Regions from separate parts of the Mus musculus genome. Here region 2 is reported to be linked to region 1. The links are microRNA targets in miRTarBase. Many come from high-throughput screens and were not tested one by one. Region 1 holds a microRNA gene; the other region holds the end of a gene's coding sequence.

Region 1 (8,018 bases):
GTCTTGAGCCTGGGAACACAGTTGTTTTGTTTTCTAATTTGATAGACCCTTCTACCCAGATGTTTGTAGACAGGAATTTTCAATGAACATTAATATGAGCATTGGTCGGAGTAAACAGAGAGGACAGAGGAGAAAGGGCAGGAGGAACCTGGTAGCTAAGTACTTCATTCAGAAGCTAGGCAGGGACCACACCCTTAGATTTTGTTTGGGGAGCCTTGGGATAGAAGGACAAGTTTCCTTTGAAGAAGAGGGGCAGAGCTGAACCCAGGTACAAAGCAGGAGCTCTTTGAGTTTGGGGTTTGGAGCATAGCAGTTGTGCAAGAATGGACCAGCATATCTAGGCCTGAGGCCTCTCCCTTCTGTTCTTGGGGGTGGAGTACATTTTGTTTGTTTTATTGGTTTTGATTTTTTTTTTTTTTAAGCAAACGTAGCAAACAAAACTGCAAACCAACTGGGGGTTGGGGATAGCTAGGGACCCTGGATGACGATGTGGCTTTACTTTGTGAAGATTATTTGGTCTCTATCCAATTTTCATCTCCAAATTTGAGGTGAAAACATTAAGGGCTTTGATGTCAGGACAGAGTTAGCTATTCTGAGTTTTGGGGTGTCACTTGCCATAGAAGTTATTGTAGTCAATAAGGCCTGTTTTTAGTCTCGACAGCTGATAGCAAATTGGAGGTGCGGGGCTGGTTTTAAAGATGTCTTAGTTCGGGGGTTTGGAGGGATTTGATGCTCCCATGTGAGACTGTCCATCTCTAATTTCTGGTCTACTGGGGGAGCATGAGTACGCAACTAATTTGGGGGACATAGTCTCTTTCCAAGTGCTGTTTCAAGGTTTGGATGAGATTGTTTGGGGACATAAAGGTCAACTTGGGGCTTTTTAGAGAGCCCAGTTACATTGAGTTGGTGGCAGAGCCAGAAGCTAGGAGAGGATCTGAAGGCTTTCTGTAGCTGAGAGCTTGATTGATGGGGGGGCAAAGTTTTGTATTTGAATCTTGTGGAAACTCATTTTGAGGGTTGGATATTCCTGTGAACATGTTTATGTGTGAAACTCCTCCACAGGAGAGAATTGAGAAGCCCCCCCAGGGTAGAAGGATAGTTTGGGGGGTATCCAGTTTCTGGGTGTTTTGCCACTGGCCACATTTGGTGAAGCTGAGAGGTGGGTCATAAATTGAAATTGATTTGGAGGTTCACCTATTCTAAAGCACACTTCTGACTTAGGTTATCTTTTGCTGATAGTCCCCTGGCACCCCAGATTGTAAAAAAAATTAGTGAACCCCCAAATAAGGCCAGAATTTGAAGGGTGAAGCCTGGAAAAAGCAGTGTGGTCCATCATAGACTCACTGGAATATGACCTGTTGTGCTAAGGGGGGAAAGGTGGCTTCATACTCTGAACCCCGATTTCTTATGGAAGAAAAAATCCGTTTGGAGGAGATGGGGTGTCTCTTGTTAAAGTGGGTACTTTCTGACTAACAGTGCTGCTGAAACTGGCAAGGAAAGGCTGTGATGGTCTACAAGGGGGGGGTGAATCTTGCACCCTGATATTTTAAGATAAGAGCCCCAAAGAGAAAGCAGACAGAGGATTGGGAATGAGGGTGAACTGAGAGGCGGGGGAGGGGTTTCCAACGGCAGCAGGGGCTAGAGGGTAAGCCAGGCCAGATATTCCCGCCTAGGTCCCTGCTCTCTTCGGCTCTCCTCCCCTCTCTCCCTCCCACCGCCCACCCCCCCAACTCAAGGAAAAAAAAACTGCCTGTGCAATAGCAATGGCAGATTCCAGTCCTCCAGGCTTTCCTAAACCACCACCGAGACCAGCCAGGGGGGAGGGGAGGGGAGGGGAGGATCGGGCTTTCCTGCTTCCTTGAGACAGGGGCAATGAGCTTGACCTCTTGGCCCCTAGCCTTCTAAAGAGTGTCCCCCGGTCTGGAAACCAGGTGTCCTGGACCCTAGCCCCCAAGCGGGGGGGCCTGGAGAAACGGGGAGGAGGAAGGAGGGAGTGACTTCCAAAATTGGCATCGGGACAGAGCAGGGCTGGCGGGAGGCAGGAGAAAGACAGAATTTTCCTGAAAAAACGGGGGTATCTAAGGACCCCAAATTTGGGTAGCTAGTTCAGGACCATCTTCCCAACATCCTAGATTTTTTTGGGATTTTTTGGGGGCCCCGGGATCCCTCTAGATGGGGTGAGGAATGTAGTGTTGGGGGAATCTGACTGGGGCAATGCAGCTGCCTCTCCCGCCGAGTTGGAGACGGATGGGCTGGGACGGGTTTTGGGGGGGTGTCCCCAGTTCTGACTGGGAGTGGAGGAACCCCTCCAGAGCTCTCTTGTGGGGGTCCCCCACCCCAGGGCACTCCCCAGTCCTTGAGCCAGCTGAGAGGAAGGAGGCCAGCGATGCGACTGGGGCGTCTCTTTTCTCCTGCACCCCAAATGTGAGGGATGCACCCCAAAATTTGCTCCTTTCAAAATAGGGGACCAGGATCTCAGGGGAGAGTAGCTGAGGTAAGTGGGGAGGAAAGTGTCCCCTGTTTTCAGGAGAGACGTGGCGGTTGGGGGGGAGGTTTGGAGGTGCGTGCTGGGGTGGGGTTGCGCCTTGTAACTCTTGAAATTGGGGGGATGACCAGAGAAGCTTTCTCTTGTACCCCTAAGACGTAGCACCTCATACTGAAACCAAAGCTTGAGACTTGAGAGCCCCCAATATTCCTACAGACATTAGGACAGTGTTTGCTTTTTTTTTTTTTTAGCCCCACAAAAGCTTTGCTGGGATGGGAGCTGGGGGACAGCAGTTGTTTCTGGGGGTCCAGGAGGGTGCAAGGAGCAGGAGGCGTTGGCAGGGCTTGATATAGGTGATCTGGTAGTCTTGGAGAGGGTCTGGCATACTAGGGGGGCCTAAAAAGATTGCTTCACACACCATCTTAAATCTTTTGATTGCTAAGAGTTTTGGGGGGGTGTGTCGGAAGCCTGGTGGTGCTAAAAGGTGGGATGAGATATGGGAGGTTAATATCTAGGGTTTACAGAGTTTTGTTTTGTTTTGAAATTTCCAGAAGAAACTTTTGCCTTCTGGGAGGTTCTTTTTAAAATCAAGTCTTGGACAGGAGGAAAGGGCTATGGGAAGGCCTAGGGTTGGGGGTGGGGAAAAGGCATGTTTGTCTTTGCTTAAACGTGGCTCTCAGGGGTGGGCCTGCTTGCCTGGGCCTGGTGAATGGGCTAATGAGTGTTGCTGTGTGGGTGGGGCGTGGGTCTTGGGGGACCATGGGGAATGGAAGCAGCACTTGGGGTTGAATACTTTGCCCTCTGGTCCAGATGAGCCTCTTCCTGGGCTCTGCTGCATCCCTTTCTCCCTGGCCTCCATTTCCTGCCTTTGGCCTCCATCTTGTGGCAGGCCCAGGGCCCAGGGCGACTTCCGGCCCCCCTCTCTCAACCGTGTTCCAGCCCCACCACCTCTGGACTGCCAACTCCCAACCCTGCTGTCCTTGGCCCTGTGTCTTCCAGCATTTCTCTTGGGTTCTGACCTAGGGAGGGAGGAATGGACACAGGAAACCTTAGGTCCCTGCCTTTGTGGGAGGCAGTTTGTTGGTCTTCCCCAGTCATCCCGTTTCCTAAGGATCCCCAGAGCTGAATTCCTACAGAGGTGAAGAATGCTCCAAGCTTATCACATTGGACTCATCTGCCAGGGCCCTATCCTTTGCCTGCTAAACTACTTTTGCTGGTTCCTGATTGTTCCCCCCCCCCAGCTTTTTTGGGGGGCCATGTTTGCCATTCACACCTCTGTCTCACTCTAGGTGGGGGTCTTCACGGCACTGCCTGTGCTGTCTTCCTCTCGACCCACCCCAGTCCTGCCCCCGCCCCAGCAGCACACTGTGGTTTGTACGGCACTGTGGCCACGTCCAAACCACACTGTGGTGTTAGAGCGAGGGTATGGGAGGCACCGATGAGCCTGGCCCTGGGAGGCCACCCTGGAGAAGCAACACACACACACACACACACACACACACACACACACACACACCGTCTAGGGTATTGTGATGAAGTTCTTGCAAGGTGGGACAGGAGACACTGGAAAGAGCCCCTCTGCAACCCCCAGGTTGTCTGATACCAGTTATCAGGAACCCTGGTAATGAGTTCTGGCCCCACAGAGCAAAGTAGAGTCTTTGTTGCCCACACCCAACTCTCCTGGCTCTAGCAGCACAGAAATATTGGCATGGGGAAGTGAGTCTGCCAATATTGGCTGTGCTGCTCCAGGCAGGGTGGTGAGAGCTACTGAGAAGGGGCCAAGCCCCGAGGGCGAAGCAGAGGAGAGGGAACGGCAGCTGGCAGCACCATGTTGAGAGAATCTTTTTTAATTATAATTTTCTGTATAAAAATGTCCATCACACAGAAGTCAAAGGGCGAGGGCACATGGTTATCAGGAACGAGGTGGATGGCTCCAGCAGCCCTCTGACCCTCTCTCAGGCAGTCCTTGCTTAGAGTCCCAGGTGATCCACAGGTCCAGGGTGAACAATGAGGGTCAGAGGTGGAAGGCTCAGCAGGAGAGGAGAGGAGCATCAGCGGAGGTGGTGAGGAGGCCAGAGTCCAGGGTCAGGCTGTCTGGAACAGGAAGGAAAACGGACAGAGATGGAGCAAGCGTGGAGGATTTTTCCAAGAAAACCCTCACCTCCTCAAACGCCGTATTACTAACTGACCCATTCCCCTGCACTGAATCTTCCTTCTGAGGCCCCTGCACCAGAAAGGGGTTTTCTGTGGGGACCCTCCCCTACCATCCAGGTGAGTATGTTCCCCACCCCCAGCCAGCGTGGGAGGAGGAGGACTCCTACCCTGGTCAAAGTTGAGTTTCTTGGCTGGAGGAGTTTCTCCTAGCCCTTCGACATCCACCAGGTCACTGTTGGCGTCGGAGTCGTTCAGAGCACTGAGTGTCACATCTGGGAGGGGGCATAGGCTAAGTTCTAGGTTTCCCTGACTGCTGTCTTTCCCTCCTCCCAGTCTGCCAAAGCTTCATGCTCTACACATCCCTCTACCCACTCTGGAATCACCAGCGTACAGAAGAGAAGCGTCTCTCCTTCTTTGACCCAGGCCCAATTCTCTTATTGAATCTCAGATAGGACCTTTAACCCCTACCCTAGGCAGCAACTCCACAGCCCTCACCAGCCTTCTGTTTCTTTATGGGAGGAACCCCAGCTTCAGGGACACTGGAGCTGCTGGGTGGAGGGGCGTTTGGAGGTGAGAGGACACCGGACGTCATCTTCTTGGGTCCTTTCTTGGGTGACTCAGCTGGAAGGGGGATGCCGGAGTCTTCATACACTTTTCGCTTCACAGTGGTCTTTATCTGAGCCCTGAAGATGAGAGAGAGCAGATTAGGGTGTCATCAGAGAAGCCGAGGGAAGAGGGGAGGGGAGGGAATAATGGGCCACTCTGAAGGAATTCTAGGAGTTCCTTTGTAGATATCCAGGTCAAGGCCCCAGTTCATGTGTAATAAGGGTCCTCCCCCCCCCCCCCACGTTCAGAACTTTTGCATCCACTTAGGGCTAATAGATTAAGATGAATGGAGTCCCTGAACTGAGTGGCCAGAAAGGCCCTTTTCATGATCCTCTGGGAGAGATGCATGGTTTTGTAGGACCACCAGGTATGTTGTGGTGACATAAAGGTAGACTGAGACTGTCATAGAACCTGACCAACTAATTAGTTCAGAATGCATCCCCTGGACATGCCAGTTTCAAAGGATTTACATAAATAGCTAGGGAACTCTTATCATCAAACACAACCACTGAGTATCTGGGCACCATGAAAATAAAGTTCTCTGCAGGCCCTAGTGACCACTGCATTTCCTGATCTTCCGACCAACTGCCACAGTGACAGTCTCTCAGTCTTCAAGGAAATGCTAACAAAACTAGGAACAAAGTAGGAAAGATGCTGAGCTGGGAGTTCTGAGAGAGAACAATGGGTCAGGAGGAAGAAAGTTGCCCACCCTCCCCTTTCTCTGCCAGCCACCCTCCCTCACACTGTCCGTTCCTTGATGACACAGCTGATGTGATTAAGATCGTCCCCAAAGCGCTTCACAGCAGCCCTCAGCATCTCTATCTCCGTCTCCGTCCACTTGGCACTGTCGGAAGGGGAGAAGGGTGATAACAAAAGTGGAAGAGGGATGTGTGGAACCAGCCCACAGGCTATTCCGTCCACAGCCAGCAGCCTCTTCCCCCTAGTCTCTAGGGGCACCTTTCAAAGATTCATAAAAAGGACCTCCTTTTAAAAAAAAAAAAGCCCTGGGGACAAATCGCTGGCCACATGAAATTACATCCAGGGCCACTTGAAAACATCACTTCATCATGTAACAGCTTCCATAAACAACCCAACGGAAACCAATGAAACAAGTAGGGGCCTTACAAACACAACCCTTGAAAGATGTGTGGCAGCAGTTTGAGGGAGTCCACAGGGCTTGGGGTAGGTGGCAGACATTCTGTCGGTTTGCAGTGGAGGGCTGTGGCCTCGGTAGTCTCTTTACCTGTCATCCACTAATTCAACAATTACCACCTACACTGAGCTGGGCCAGGCACAGGGGAATTACTCTATCTCCCTGCTCTAGAGAGGGTCGTGTCTGTGACTTGAGTCCAAGCGTCTGATCTCGGAGTCCAGGTCCTAGGCTGGTCTCACGTACCCGGCAGGGGAAGAGTCCGAGACTGGATGCAGCTGCATCGTCAACTCCCCGAGCTTCGTGAAGGCGGCGCCGGCCGCGGAGAAGATCTCTCCAACCTGGGGGCGGAGCAGCATTACGGGGGGCCGGCAGCGCGCCGTCCCACCCCAGCCTCGGATCCGCCCGCCCCCCGCCCAGCGCGCACCAGCCGGGAGCCAGGCAGGGGGCCCACCCTCCCGTGGCCGCCAGGGAGCGCAGTCCGCGAGGGAGGTCGAACCTTGGTGGACGCTGACGTCATGGCCCCGCGCACCTCCTCACGGAGACGCTCCGCCGCCACCACCACCACGCGAGCTGGAAACCACGGAGAGCCCGGCAGCCGGCCGCTCGGGCTCCCGCGCAGGAAGTCCCGCCCTCCCTGCAGCTGATTGGCCGAGACCCGACCTCTCCCCAGTCACTCAAGGGGCCTCGCCGCGCGGAGGAAGACGAGGTGGAAGACGTTGCTTCACTTCCGGCTAGCTTCATTCCACTTCCGTCGGAGGGTCCGGACTCCTCGATGAGGCCGGTCTCAGCCCCTTCCAGCCCGGGCCCGCCCCTCCCTGAAAGCACAGACAGCAAGCTTAGGGGGAACCGCTTCTTTTTATTGTAGTTCAGAACGGGGCGCGGTCACCCTCGGTCTCCTCCAGAGGCTGGGCGCAGTTTTGCAGGGCCAGGGATGACGTCTCGCTAGGGTCACAAGTCCCAAAGGACGCCAGATGAGTGGGACGGAGTCTGCGGAGTCTTTAAATAGAGAAGGGGGCTGGGGAGGGAGAGGCGGACCGCGCTCTAGCGCACCATGTATTCCTTGCGCTTGTTGAGACGAACTTGGCAGAAGGAGAAGCCTCCGAGGAGGAGGTAGAGGCCCGCGGCGATGAAACAGTTGTAGCTGACTTGCTCGTACAGGTTGTATATGTTCTGAGGACCGTTCCTGAAGGTGGCGAGCGAGCAGGGAAATGTCAGCCATTCAGAGCATCCAATATGCAAGTTCTATGCATCAGACACCATGCTAAAGCACTTTAACTCCTATTAGTCTTCCCAAGAAGCATACCAAATGAATTCTATCATGGTAACCATTTTACAGAGGTAGACCAAGGAGCAGGAAGGCAAAATATTGGAAGAGGCCACATCTAAGCTGGTGGGCTTGGGTAGCCATGGAAACGTGGCTTGCAAGACTGCTCCTAAGTACATGCCTTTCTGTGTCTCTGTCTCTCGCGCTGGGGATTGAAACTAGGACCCTGCGTGCTGCCACCCAACTACTTTGTAGAGAGCAGCCCTCTTCTTGAAGTCCCCAACCTAGGGCCACAAATGTCCAGTCTTCAGAAGTGTCCTCCCCATAAACCCAAACCATGCTACTCCTCATCCACG
Region 2 (8,018 bases), not on the chromosome of region 1:
CCAGGAAGGTGGTAGGAACTCCCAAGGCTCTCTTAATTTCCTTCCCCTGTGAGGAACCCTAGCTAGGGCTAGAGTAGTTAACTGGACATGCCCAGACATCAGGTAAGAGAAGACTATGTTAATTCAGCCTTCGGTTTTCAGGCATCATTTTGAAATCTCAGACCATGAACACTAGATCAGAAAGGAAAGGTGTTTGATTTTTTTTTTTTTTCTGTCTCACTTCACATAACGTAGCTTAATTTGCATGGAGAAAAGCAGATACTGGCACCGGTCTAGAAGTCCAATGGGGGACATAACAACCATACGAAAATAACAAACGCTTGTGACAGGGCACCTGACAGCTCCCGCCCGCTCTGTGTGTGTCAAGTTCACGCGCAGCTAGACCACGGCTCGCGGCCGCCGCAACGCACGTGATCGCGGGTGGACACGGCCCTCCCAGGGCTCTAGTACCGTGGTGACGAATGGCGTGGTGGTACCGAGGGCAATGACGAATGGCGAGACGCCTGGATACGAGTCACTTGCCCTAAATGAACACCTTTCTCCAACCAAGCCAACCTCCCGGCAAGTCCCGATCCTCAAGGCCAGACCGACCGCCATGGAAACCCAGCGATCCCCTCTGCAGCCCCCGCCCCTCCGGGAGCCCCTTCTGCGTCACCGTGACACCTCGTCCCACGTAGGTGTCCCCCTTCCAGCCCTCCCCAGTGCCCTTCCGCCGGTCCTCACCCGCGGCCGCCGCGCCACACTCTGCTGGACTCGCTCGTTCACGGCCCGCAGCGCGAACCCGACTCCCAGCTCCGCCGTCATGCTGCCACCTCTCAACATTCCCAAGAGGATGCCCGGAGGACCCGCGACTCACCGAGCCCACCTTCCGGTCCCGCCCCCTTCCTGAGAGGTCCAATCGCCGCTCACCATCCAGCCACTTCCCCAGCGGAGGTTGGCCACCCAGGCGGGCGCCATCTTGGGGAAGGCGGAGGTTACCCGGACTGAAAGCCTCCTAGGGAGTTCAAGGGCTGGGCGGGCCGGTATAAACCAAGACATTAAAGTAACTTTCATTCATCCGTTCCGTTCCTTTCCTTTTTCCTTTCTTCTTTTCCTTTCCCTTCCCTCCCCTCTCCTTCCCATTTTTAAATTTCTTTCGAGACAGGGCTTCTCTGTGTCCTGGCTGTCCTGGAACTCATTCTCTAGATCAGGGTGGCCTTGAAATCCCAAGTGCTGGGTCTAAAGGCGTGTGCCACCACTGCCCAGCTATTATTTCTTTTTTAAAATATTTATTTTATGTGCGTTGATTTGTTTTGTCCTCATGTATGTATGTGCATGCACCGTCGTATCTGTGGTGCCATGGCCAGGAGAGTTTTGGATCTCGACCTGATGGTTGTGAGCCATCATGTGTGCTGGGGACAGAATTCTGGTCCTTTGCAAGAGCAACAGGTGCACTTGACTACTGATCCATCTCTCCAGCCCCCTTTTAATTTAAATATTTTTATTTATATTTTTGTTGTGTGGGTGTTTCCCCTGAACGTTAAGTCTGTGAACTGCCACAGAGGTCAGAGGAGGGCATAGAACTCTCTGGAACTGATGAGTGGATAGATGGGTGCTGGGTTCTGAACCTCTATAAGAGCAGTAAGTGCTCTCTCTCCATTCCCAGACTTTAGGAGTAATGATATTGAAGGTAAATGCCTCTTCATATACTGCTGTCACCACAGTGAAAAAAACCCCAAAACCTGAAAGGGCCCAGAAGGCTGTTACAGAGTGAGCCTAATGAGAAGCTGGCTGTGGAGCTGCAGTTGGGAAGTACTAGTCAGGAATAAGTGGGTCAAGTTTAAAGGGTTCGTGAAGGCTGGGATGGACGTGAAGTCAAAGAGATGCTCTGCTTCAAAAAATTGAAGGTGATAAGACAGGTCAGGGGTCAGAGGCGCTTGCTGTCCAAAGTCATATGGTGGAAGGAGAAAGCAGACTCCTGCAGATCTCCACATGAATGCCAGGGTGTCTGAGCATGTGCGCATGCACAAGGATGTATACATACATATGTACACAGATGTAAAAATGAGACCTATAAATACTACAGATTTAGGGTGGGGCCTCTATCTATCTATCTATCTATCTATCTATCTATCTATCTATCTATCTACCTACCTACCTACCTACCTACCTACCTACCTATCTGCACATATACATAAACACACACAGAACCTACTACTACTGTTTTGCTAAATGGACATGGCAGCAAACTGTCTTCAGAATATTTATATCCACAGGTTAGTGCTGACCTCAGCCTTGGATAAAGAAGCTGTTTGTGTTACAATGGATAATGATTAACAGAGTCACAACTGGTCAAAGTGCTCAAAATAAATGACTATTGAACCCTATCAGAGCATCTGTGCTACCTCCTTCAAGGTTCAAAGAACCTCTTGGAAGAGGGGGGGGATATGGAAAAAAACAAAACAAAACTAAGAGCCAGAGGGTAGTAGGGAGGTGTAGTGTGAACTGCTATATCTCCTGTGCCCATTACCAACGGCGACAGCTGTGGTCACCTGTGCAGGACTGGGGCTGTGAATGAGGCGGGAGCTCCTGAGGATCGTGGGACAGCTGTGCTTACTGAGGAAGGGGAGCCATATTTCTCAGTGGTGTTGCTACTAGAAAGTTGCCCTTGCCTAAATAACTCACAGCTCAGGCTTATGCAAGCAACCCTACTTAAAAGAAAAATAAAACGTAGGGGAACAGGATGATGTGCCAGAGGGGTGATATCTAGGGAAGGCTGCCCCCTTTTCATAGGAAGGGGGAAGGAAGAATGGAGGGAGGAGCTGTGTGTGTGTGTGTGTGGGGGGCCTGGGAAGAGAGAAGGGGCTGATATTGGAATATAAAGTGAATAGATAAATAGTAAAGAAAAATAACATAATTCATTAAGTAAACTCAGTTTTAGTGAATTTTTTTTTTTAAGTAAGAAGGGGGCTTGATGGGAAGAAAAGTTTGATGGGAGGGTAAGGGATTAAGATGCTAATGTGTGTGTGGGGGTTATGGTCAAAGTGCAAATTGTGAAAGAACCATTTTCAAAAAGAAAGGAAGCACAGTGTAAGAAAAACATAAGAAAACAACAATGAAAAACATGGTGGGAAGCGCACGCCTTTAATCCCAGCACTCGGGAGGCAGAGGCAGGAGGATTTCTGAGTTCAAAACCAGCCTGGTCTACAGAGTGAGTTCCAGGACAGCCAGGGCTATACACAGAAACCCTGTCTCGACACCCCCCCCCCCAAAAAAACCCCCAAAACCAACCAACCAACCCCCCCCCAAAAAAAAACCAAGAAAACTATGTTGTGGCAGGGTGGGGGAGAGGGAGATGGCTCAGAGGTTAAGAGCACTGGCTGCTCTTGAGGAGGACCCTGCTTGATTCCAGCAAACAAGGAACAACTCAAAACTGCCCCGTCCGGGAAATCCAATGCCCTCAGCTGGCCTCCATAGGCACCAGGTATGCATGTGGAATACAGACATACATCAGCAAAATACCCTATACTACATACACTAAACCAAAACCCAAACCAAGATATCCCAAACTTGTTATTTAAAAGAAAATATCCAGTTAAATGCAAATTTCAGATCAAGTGCAAATTCTTCTATAAAAGTAGGTGTTGTAAAACATTTGGATGGTATATAGTTTTTGTAAAGTTCACTGACATTAACATTTATCTAGTGACACTAGGCGAGGCAGCTTGCCACAGCCAGTCTGGGAGTTACCTACTTAAACTGATATTACATGAGGTTAGGGTCAACTGGGAATGCCTTTATCTTCTGGAGAAATGCAGCAATGTGTTAATTCTGTTTGTTTTTGCCATAGTCTCACTATGCAGACCAGGCTGGGCTCAAACAGATCCTTCTCCTCGGGTGCTGGAGCTAAAGGCATGTACCAGCATGCTGGTAAGAATCTATATTACCTGGATATATTTTTAGGGAAAGCCTAAGAAGGAAGTTTGATTTCTATCACCTGTCCTCCAATCTACTGGTAAATTTTACCTTAATCAAAAAAAGACAAAAACATTTTATTTAGCAAGACTGAAATTAAATCCAAAATGTAAGTATATTCACATTGAGACCTTTTTTTGTTGTCTGAAACAAATCCTGGAGCTATTAACCCAAGGTAATTTATCTAGTGGTATCATTTATGGAATAATTACTATAACAAGAATCATTTCTCAGTTATAAAGGCTCATTAATGCCCTTGGGGCACACTGAAAAAATTGCTTTAACTATTCAATCACCAGTTTACACAGAAGTAGAGATAAAAAGGAATGGAAGTACAAACACATGATTGCCCATTACAGCTTTTATAAGGAAACAAACAGTGGCTAGAAGCCCACTGAGGACAAGGAAGTAGGTAAAGTTCCCAGACAGAGGGGCTATTGTCCAGGTAGTTTACCGACGGCCAGCTGACGACAGCCCAGGTCAGTAAGCACGGCTATCTCACTTTCACAAGACACACGGCCCCACAGGCCGTTTATACACCTCCCTTTTCAGAGCACTTCATTCCTCCTCAGTACCCACACTGAGTCCTCCACACCTATTTTTAGTTATATAAAAATTATTAAACTTAGGCTTCCTTACAAACATTCTAACCATATATTGAAAAGTGATTAAAAACCTATATGGAATATAAATTGCTTCTGCAACATTTAGTGAGTGAGAAGCATTCTACCAAGGTGGCTGGGCCTTGGGAAAGTCCTACAAAAACTGAATTTTACAAACGGTTAACGTATTTTGATAGAAGTTCTACTTAAAAATAGCAGCTATGAATTCACTGCCTACAAAACTGCAGGCTTATCACATTTTACATGTTTAGAATTCAAATGCCTAAGTCAGATTTTATAGTATTACAAAAAACAAGGTCATAAAGACAGATGGGCTAGGCATCCCATGCTAAAAAGACATCTGAGTTCCATGATTTTACTGCTGGGACAGATACCAATAGCTACTGAATTTATGCTATGACATGGGGACATTTCTGTTCTGTTAAAGAAGTGACATTAAAGGGGCAGGGAAGGAGCAGCTGCAGCAGGACTTTACTGTGGCTCTTTGTAATGGAGGGATGAGCTCTCAGAATGCTAGTTACAGAGCCTCTCGGGCTAGGAGGGCGCTGGATGGCGGGGTACCCTCCCTCCTGCACCGACTCCACTGAAGTAGTGTTTTCTCAGGTGCACGTACAAGAGAGGATGCTGGGTATAGCACGTTGCTCTCAACAAGTGGTTAGCAGCAACAAATGAGAAGAAGATGAGTTGGTCTTGGGGAAAAAAACCCACTTTTGCAAGAGCTTTTGAGCACATTAAAATGTCCTTTTCAGGAACATTTTGTAGTTTGTACAGTGTGGCCAGGGTCAGTGGCCTGAGGAGTCAGGACAGAGAAGGGAACATCTGAAGTAAGCACAGTGAACCCTGCCTCTTTTTGGGTCGGCTGAATGCTTCCCAAATACCTGACAAGTCTGGTGCCACTTAGGAGCAAACTGGCCCGACTTACAAAACCAAAACTGAGGTGGGAATTGATGCCAGAAAATACCATTTATAGTAGTCACCTAAGAGAGAACAGTAGGTGCTTTGTGTGGGGGGAGGATGAGGTAGGGGACCAGCTAACAAGGCCAAGTCCTAAGCTAGAGCCAGTCATGGTTGCACAGGGTACTGCCATGTCTGCAGATTACCTGCAGAGCTGCCCTCCACAGAGGCATTCTGTGTGCACTCACAGGCCATGGTAGAGCCCCACCCCCAGTGCAATTTCAGGATAAGAAATCCCTTTCTCTCATATCTATTCTTCGCATTCTCAGTTTCCTAGGGTGACTCACTGGAGCCGACTCTCAAGTGGCTGCCTGCTCTCTTCATCAGTGTCAGACAAAGCCCCAGCACAGGCCACAGGCACTACTACTTGGGTGTCATCTGGCTGGGCCCTTCTCCACAGTGTTAAGGGCTCTTCAATGAAGAATCTCCATAATGATAAAGATGTTTGGTCTCAAAAGCATACGCATAATTAGCCACACAGCACCACAGTGCTAAGGGGTATAAGGAGCTACGTCATCAGCTAACAGCACTTGTTTGTTCCCATCTTAACGCTGAGTGCAACTCATGAATAGATTATTCAAGAAGAAATGAAATCACAGATCAGGTCAAAGTACGGAAAAGGAGTGTGTGGTGTGACCAAGCCCTGCTGCGGTGAGATGTAGCCAACAAACACTAGAGCAGAGTACAGTGTGTAGAAAACCTTGCAAAACCTAGCACCAAGTTCTTCCTAAAAAGGGCTCAAGACAGCTTAACTCTCAAGTAATCCACTCAGTCAAAAAGCCCAGCCGGCCAACGCTCTCTGCAGCTCATGTTCCGCAGCAGACGGCCTTCTGTCACGAGCCCCACACGCAGACACTGCCTACACTAGAGGCAAGGGAGAGAACTGTGGAGTACACTTTTCCCTGAAGGAATTCAAGCACGAGGAGGCAGCACACACTCTCCCTCTTCATACTGACAGTAGCTCCACTTAAACCAGCTTCAAAGTGACAATGTTGGTGTCTGCAGGTCAGAGGTCAAATCTACGGTGCATACACCTTCTCAGAAGTCATACAACTTACTTACCTGAATTAAAAATAAACCCAAAAAACAACTCTCCATCTGCTCTCCCTTCCCAGAAGGGGGTAAGTTTGTGTCCATTTCTTCCTTTTTAACCACAGTAAGAAGAGTCAAGGAAGGTAGTGTGGAAAGGAGGAGCGCTTTGCTCTGTCTCATCTTAAAGAATACAGCTCTCTCTAAGCTGCCCGAGCAGAGCTTGCAGACAGTGTTTCCTCAGTTCTCCTTTGTGGGTGCCTCGAGGGGCTCATCTTCTAGGCCAAAGCCCAGCTTGTCGTCGCTCAGCCCCTCAAACTGCTTGCCCAGCCCCCCTGCGGAATCCATAAACATGTTGGGGATGTCTTTGCCGAAGTAAATCTTGCTGTTGGAAGCAATGGCCTTGTACTTCATCAGCTGCAGGTATTCTGGAGTCAGCTTGAGCTGTGATGGAAGTGAAGAGAGCTTAGGGAGGGGACACCAGAGAGGAACTTCATCTGGGGAGGGCATCTGTCAAGCAGACATGTGTTTGCATGTCTCATGGCCTCCCTGTTACCCAGAAACCATTTTTTTCTGAGAGAAAATAATCTAAGGTCTATGACAGAGTAGCAACAGTTTCCAGAGTTTTCCTGTTCAATACAAAATGAAGCTTCTATTAAGGCTTCCCACACAAGAGAAGCGCTGTCTAACCCAGCAGAGGGTCCTCAGTTCTGTTGTGAGGGCTCTGGGTAGCGAGCGGCAGAGGCAACACCTCCTCAGGACGGTGGGTCAGGCGCCCTTTACCTTATTTGCTTCTGCGATCTTCAGCGCTGTGTAGCACTCAGCGTCGGCCTTCGCCTTCTCCCGGGCCAGGAACGCAGCATCTAAGGGGTGAAGGGTGCAGGGAACTGGATCAAGTACAAAACCATGGGAGGTACAGTCTGGGGGCTGGCAATTATAGCTCAGTGGTATAGACAGCACTTGTCCAGCACACATAAAGTCCAGGTTCCATTCCTGGCACTGCAGAAAACAAAAACCCAACAAAGACACTTTCTGGTCTCCATGGCCTTGGAGAGATTGTTTTGTGTGTGTGTGTGTGTTTTGTGTTTGAAATGGTCTCACCTTATAGCTAGGCTAGCATTGGACTATGCAGACTTCCTGTTAGTACAGAGAAACCAATTCTCTAAAAGAAAGTAACGTGAGATCTTCCCGACAGTGCAGCAAGAGCTTTGGTTTACTGCAGGACACCTCCATCTGGCTTCATCATACATGATGTACACTATGCATATCATATGGTGTCACCCTGACCCTGCCTTTCCAGTGCTGGGATTACAAACATGCACTGCCTTGCCTGTTCAATACCACAGATGACCCTTTCCAACTTCATCTCCCCAAAGTTTCTAACAGTGATGAGGTTGGCTAACTCTAGATTCGTGCATGCTGGTCCAGAGGAGCGCTGTCTGGTTCAGACCTGCTTCA

Evidence for each region. The annotated mature microRNA mmu-miR-497a-5p reads CAGCAGCACACUGUGGUUUGUA and lies in region 1 at 3,841-3,862, shown strand. An mRNA with a match to its seed (bases 2 to 7 or 8) in the 3' UTR can be bound and repressed. Matches are read on the target gene's strand: a 7mer-m8 pairs with bases 2 to 8, a 7mer-A1 pairs with bases 2 to 7 and ends in A, and an 8mer does both.
Region 2: the mRNA of Erlin2 is a reported target of mmu-miR-497a-5p. Seed matches in the 3' UTR shown: 8mer at 5,234-5,241 and 7mer-A1 at 4,770-4,776.

What each region holds. Positions count from the first base shown.
Region 1 is chr11:70,230,890-70,238,907 of GRCm38, forward strand. Mir497 (microRNA 497) reads left to right here and starts at 3,828; the gene lies at 3,828-3,911. 0610010K14Rik (RIKEN cDNA 0610010K14 gene) reads right to left here and starts at 7,025. Exons shown (of 6, transcript NM_145758.1): 1 at 6,895-7,025; 2 at 6,642-6,736; 3 at 5,988-6,089; 4 at 5,135-5,322; 5 at 4,807-4,911; 6 at 4,315-4,575. The coding sequence starts at 6,915. The coding sequence ends at 4,571. It overlaps Rnasek (ribonuclease, RNase K), which reads right to left. Exons shown (of 3, transcript NM_173742.3): 3 at 7,234-7,581. The coding sequence ends at 7,440. Mir497b (microRNA 497b) reads right to left here and starts at 3,927; the gene lies at 3,803-3,927. It also overlaps Mir195a.
Region 2 is chr8:27,035,419-27,043,436 of GRCm38, reverse strand. Erlin2 (ER lipid raft associated 2) reads right to left here. Exons shown (of 12, transcript NM_153592.3): 11 at 7,344-7,423; 12 at 4,000-7,004. The coding sequence ends at 6,801. It overlaps Plpbp (pyridoxal phosphate binding protein), which reads right to left and starts at 882. Exons shown (of 8, transcript NM_054057.4): 1 at 724-882. The coding sequence starts at 822.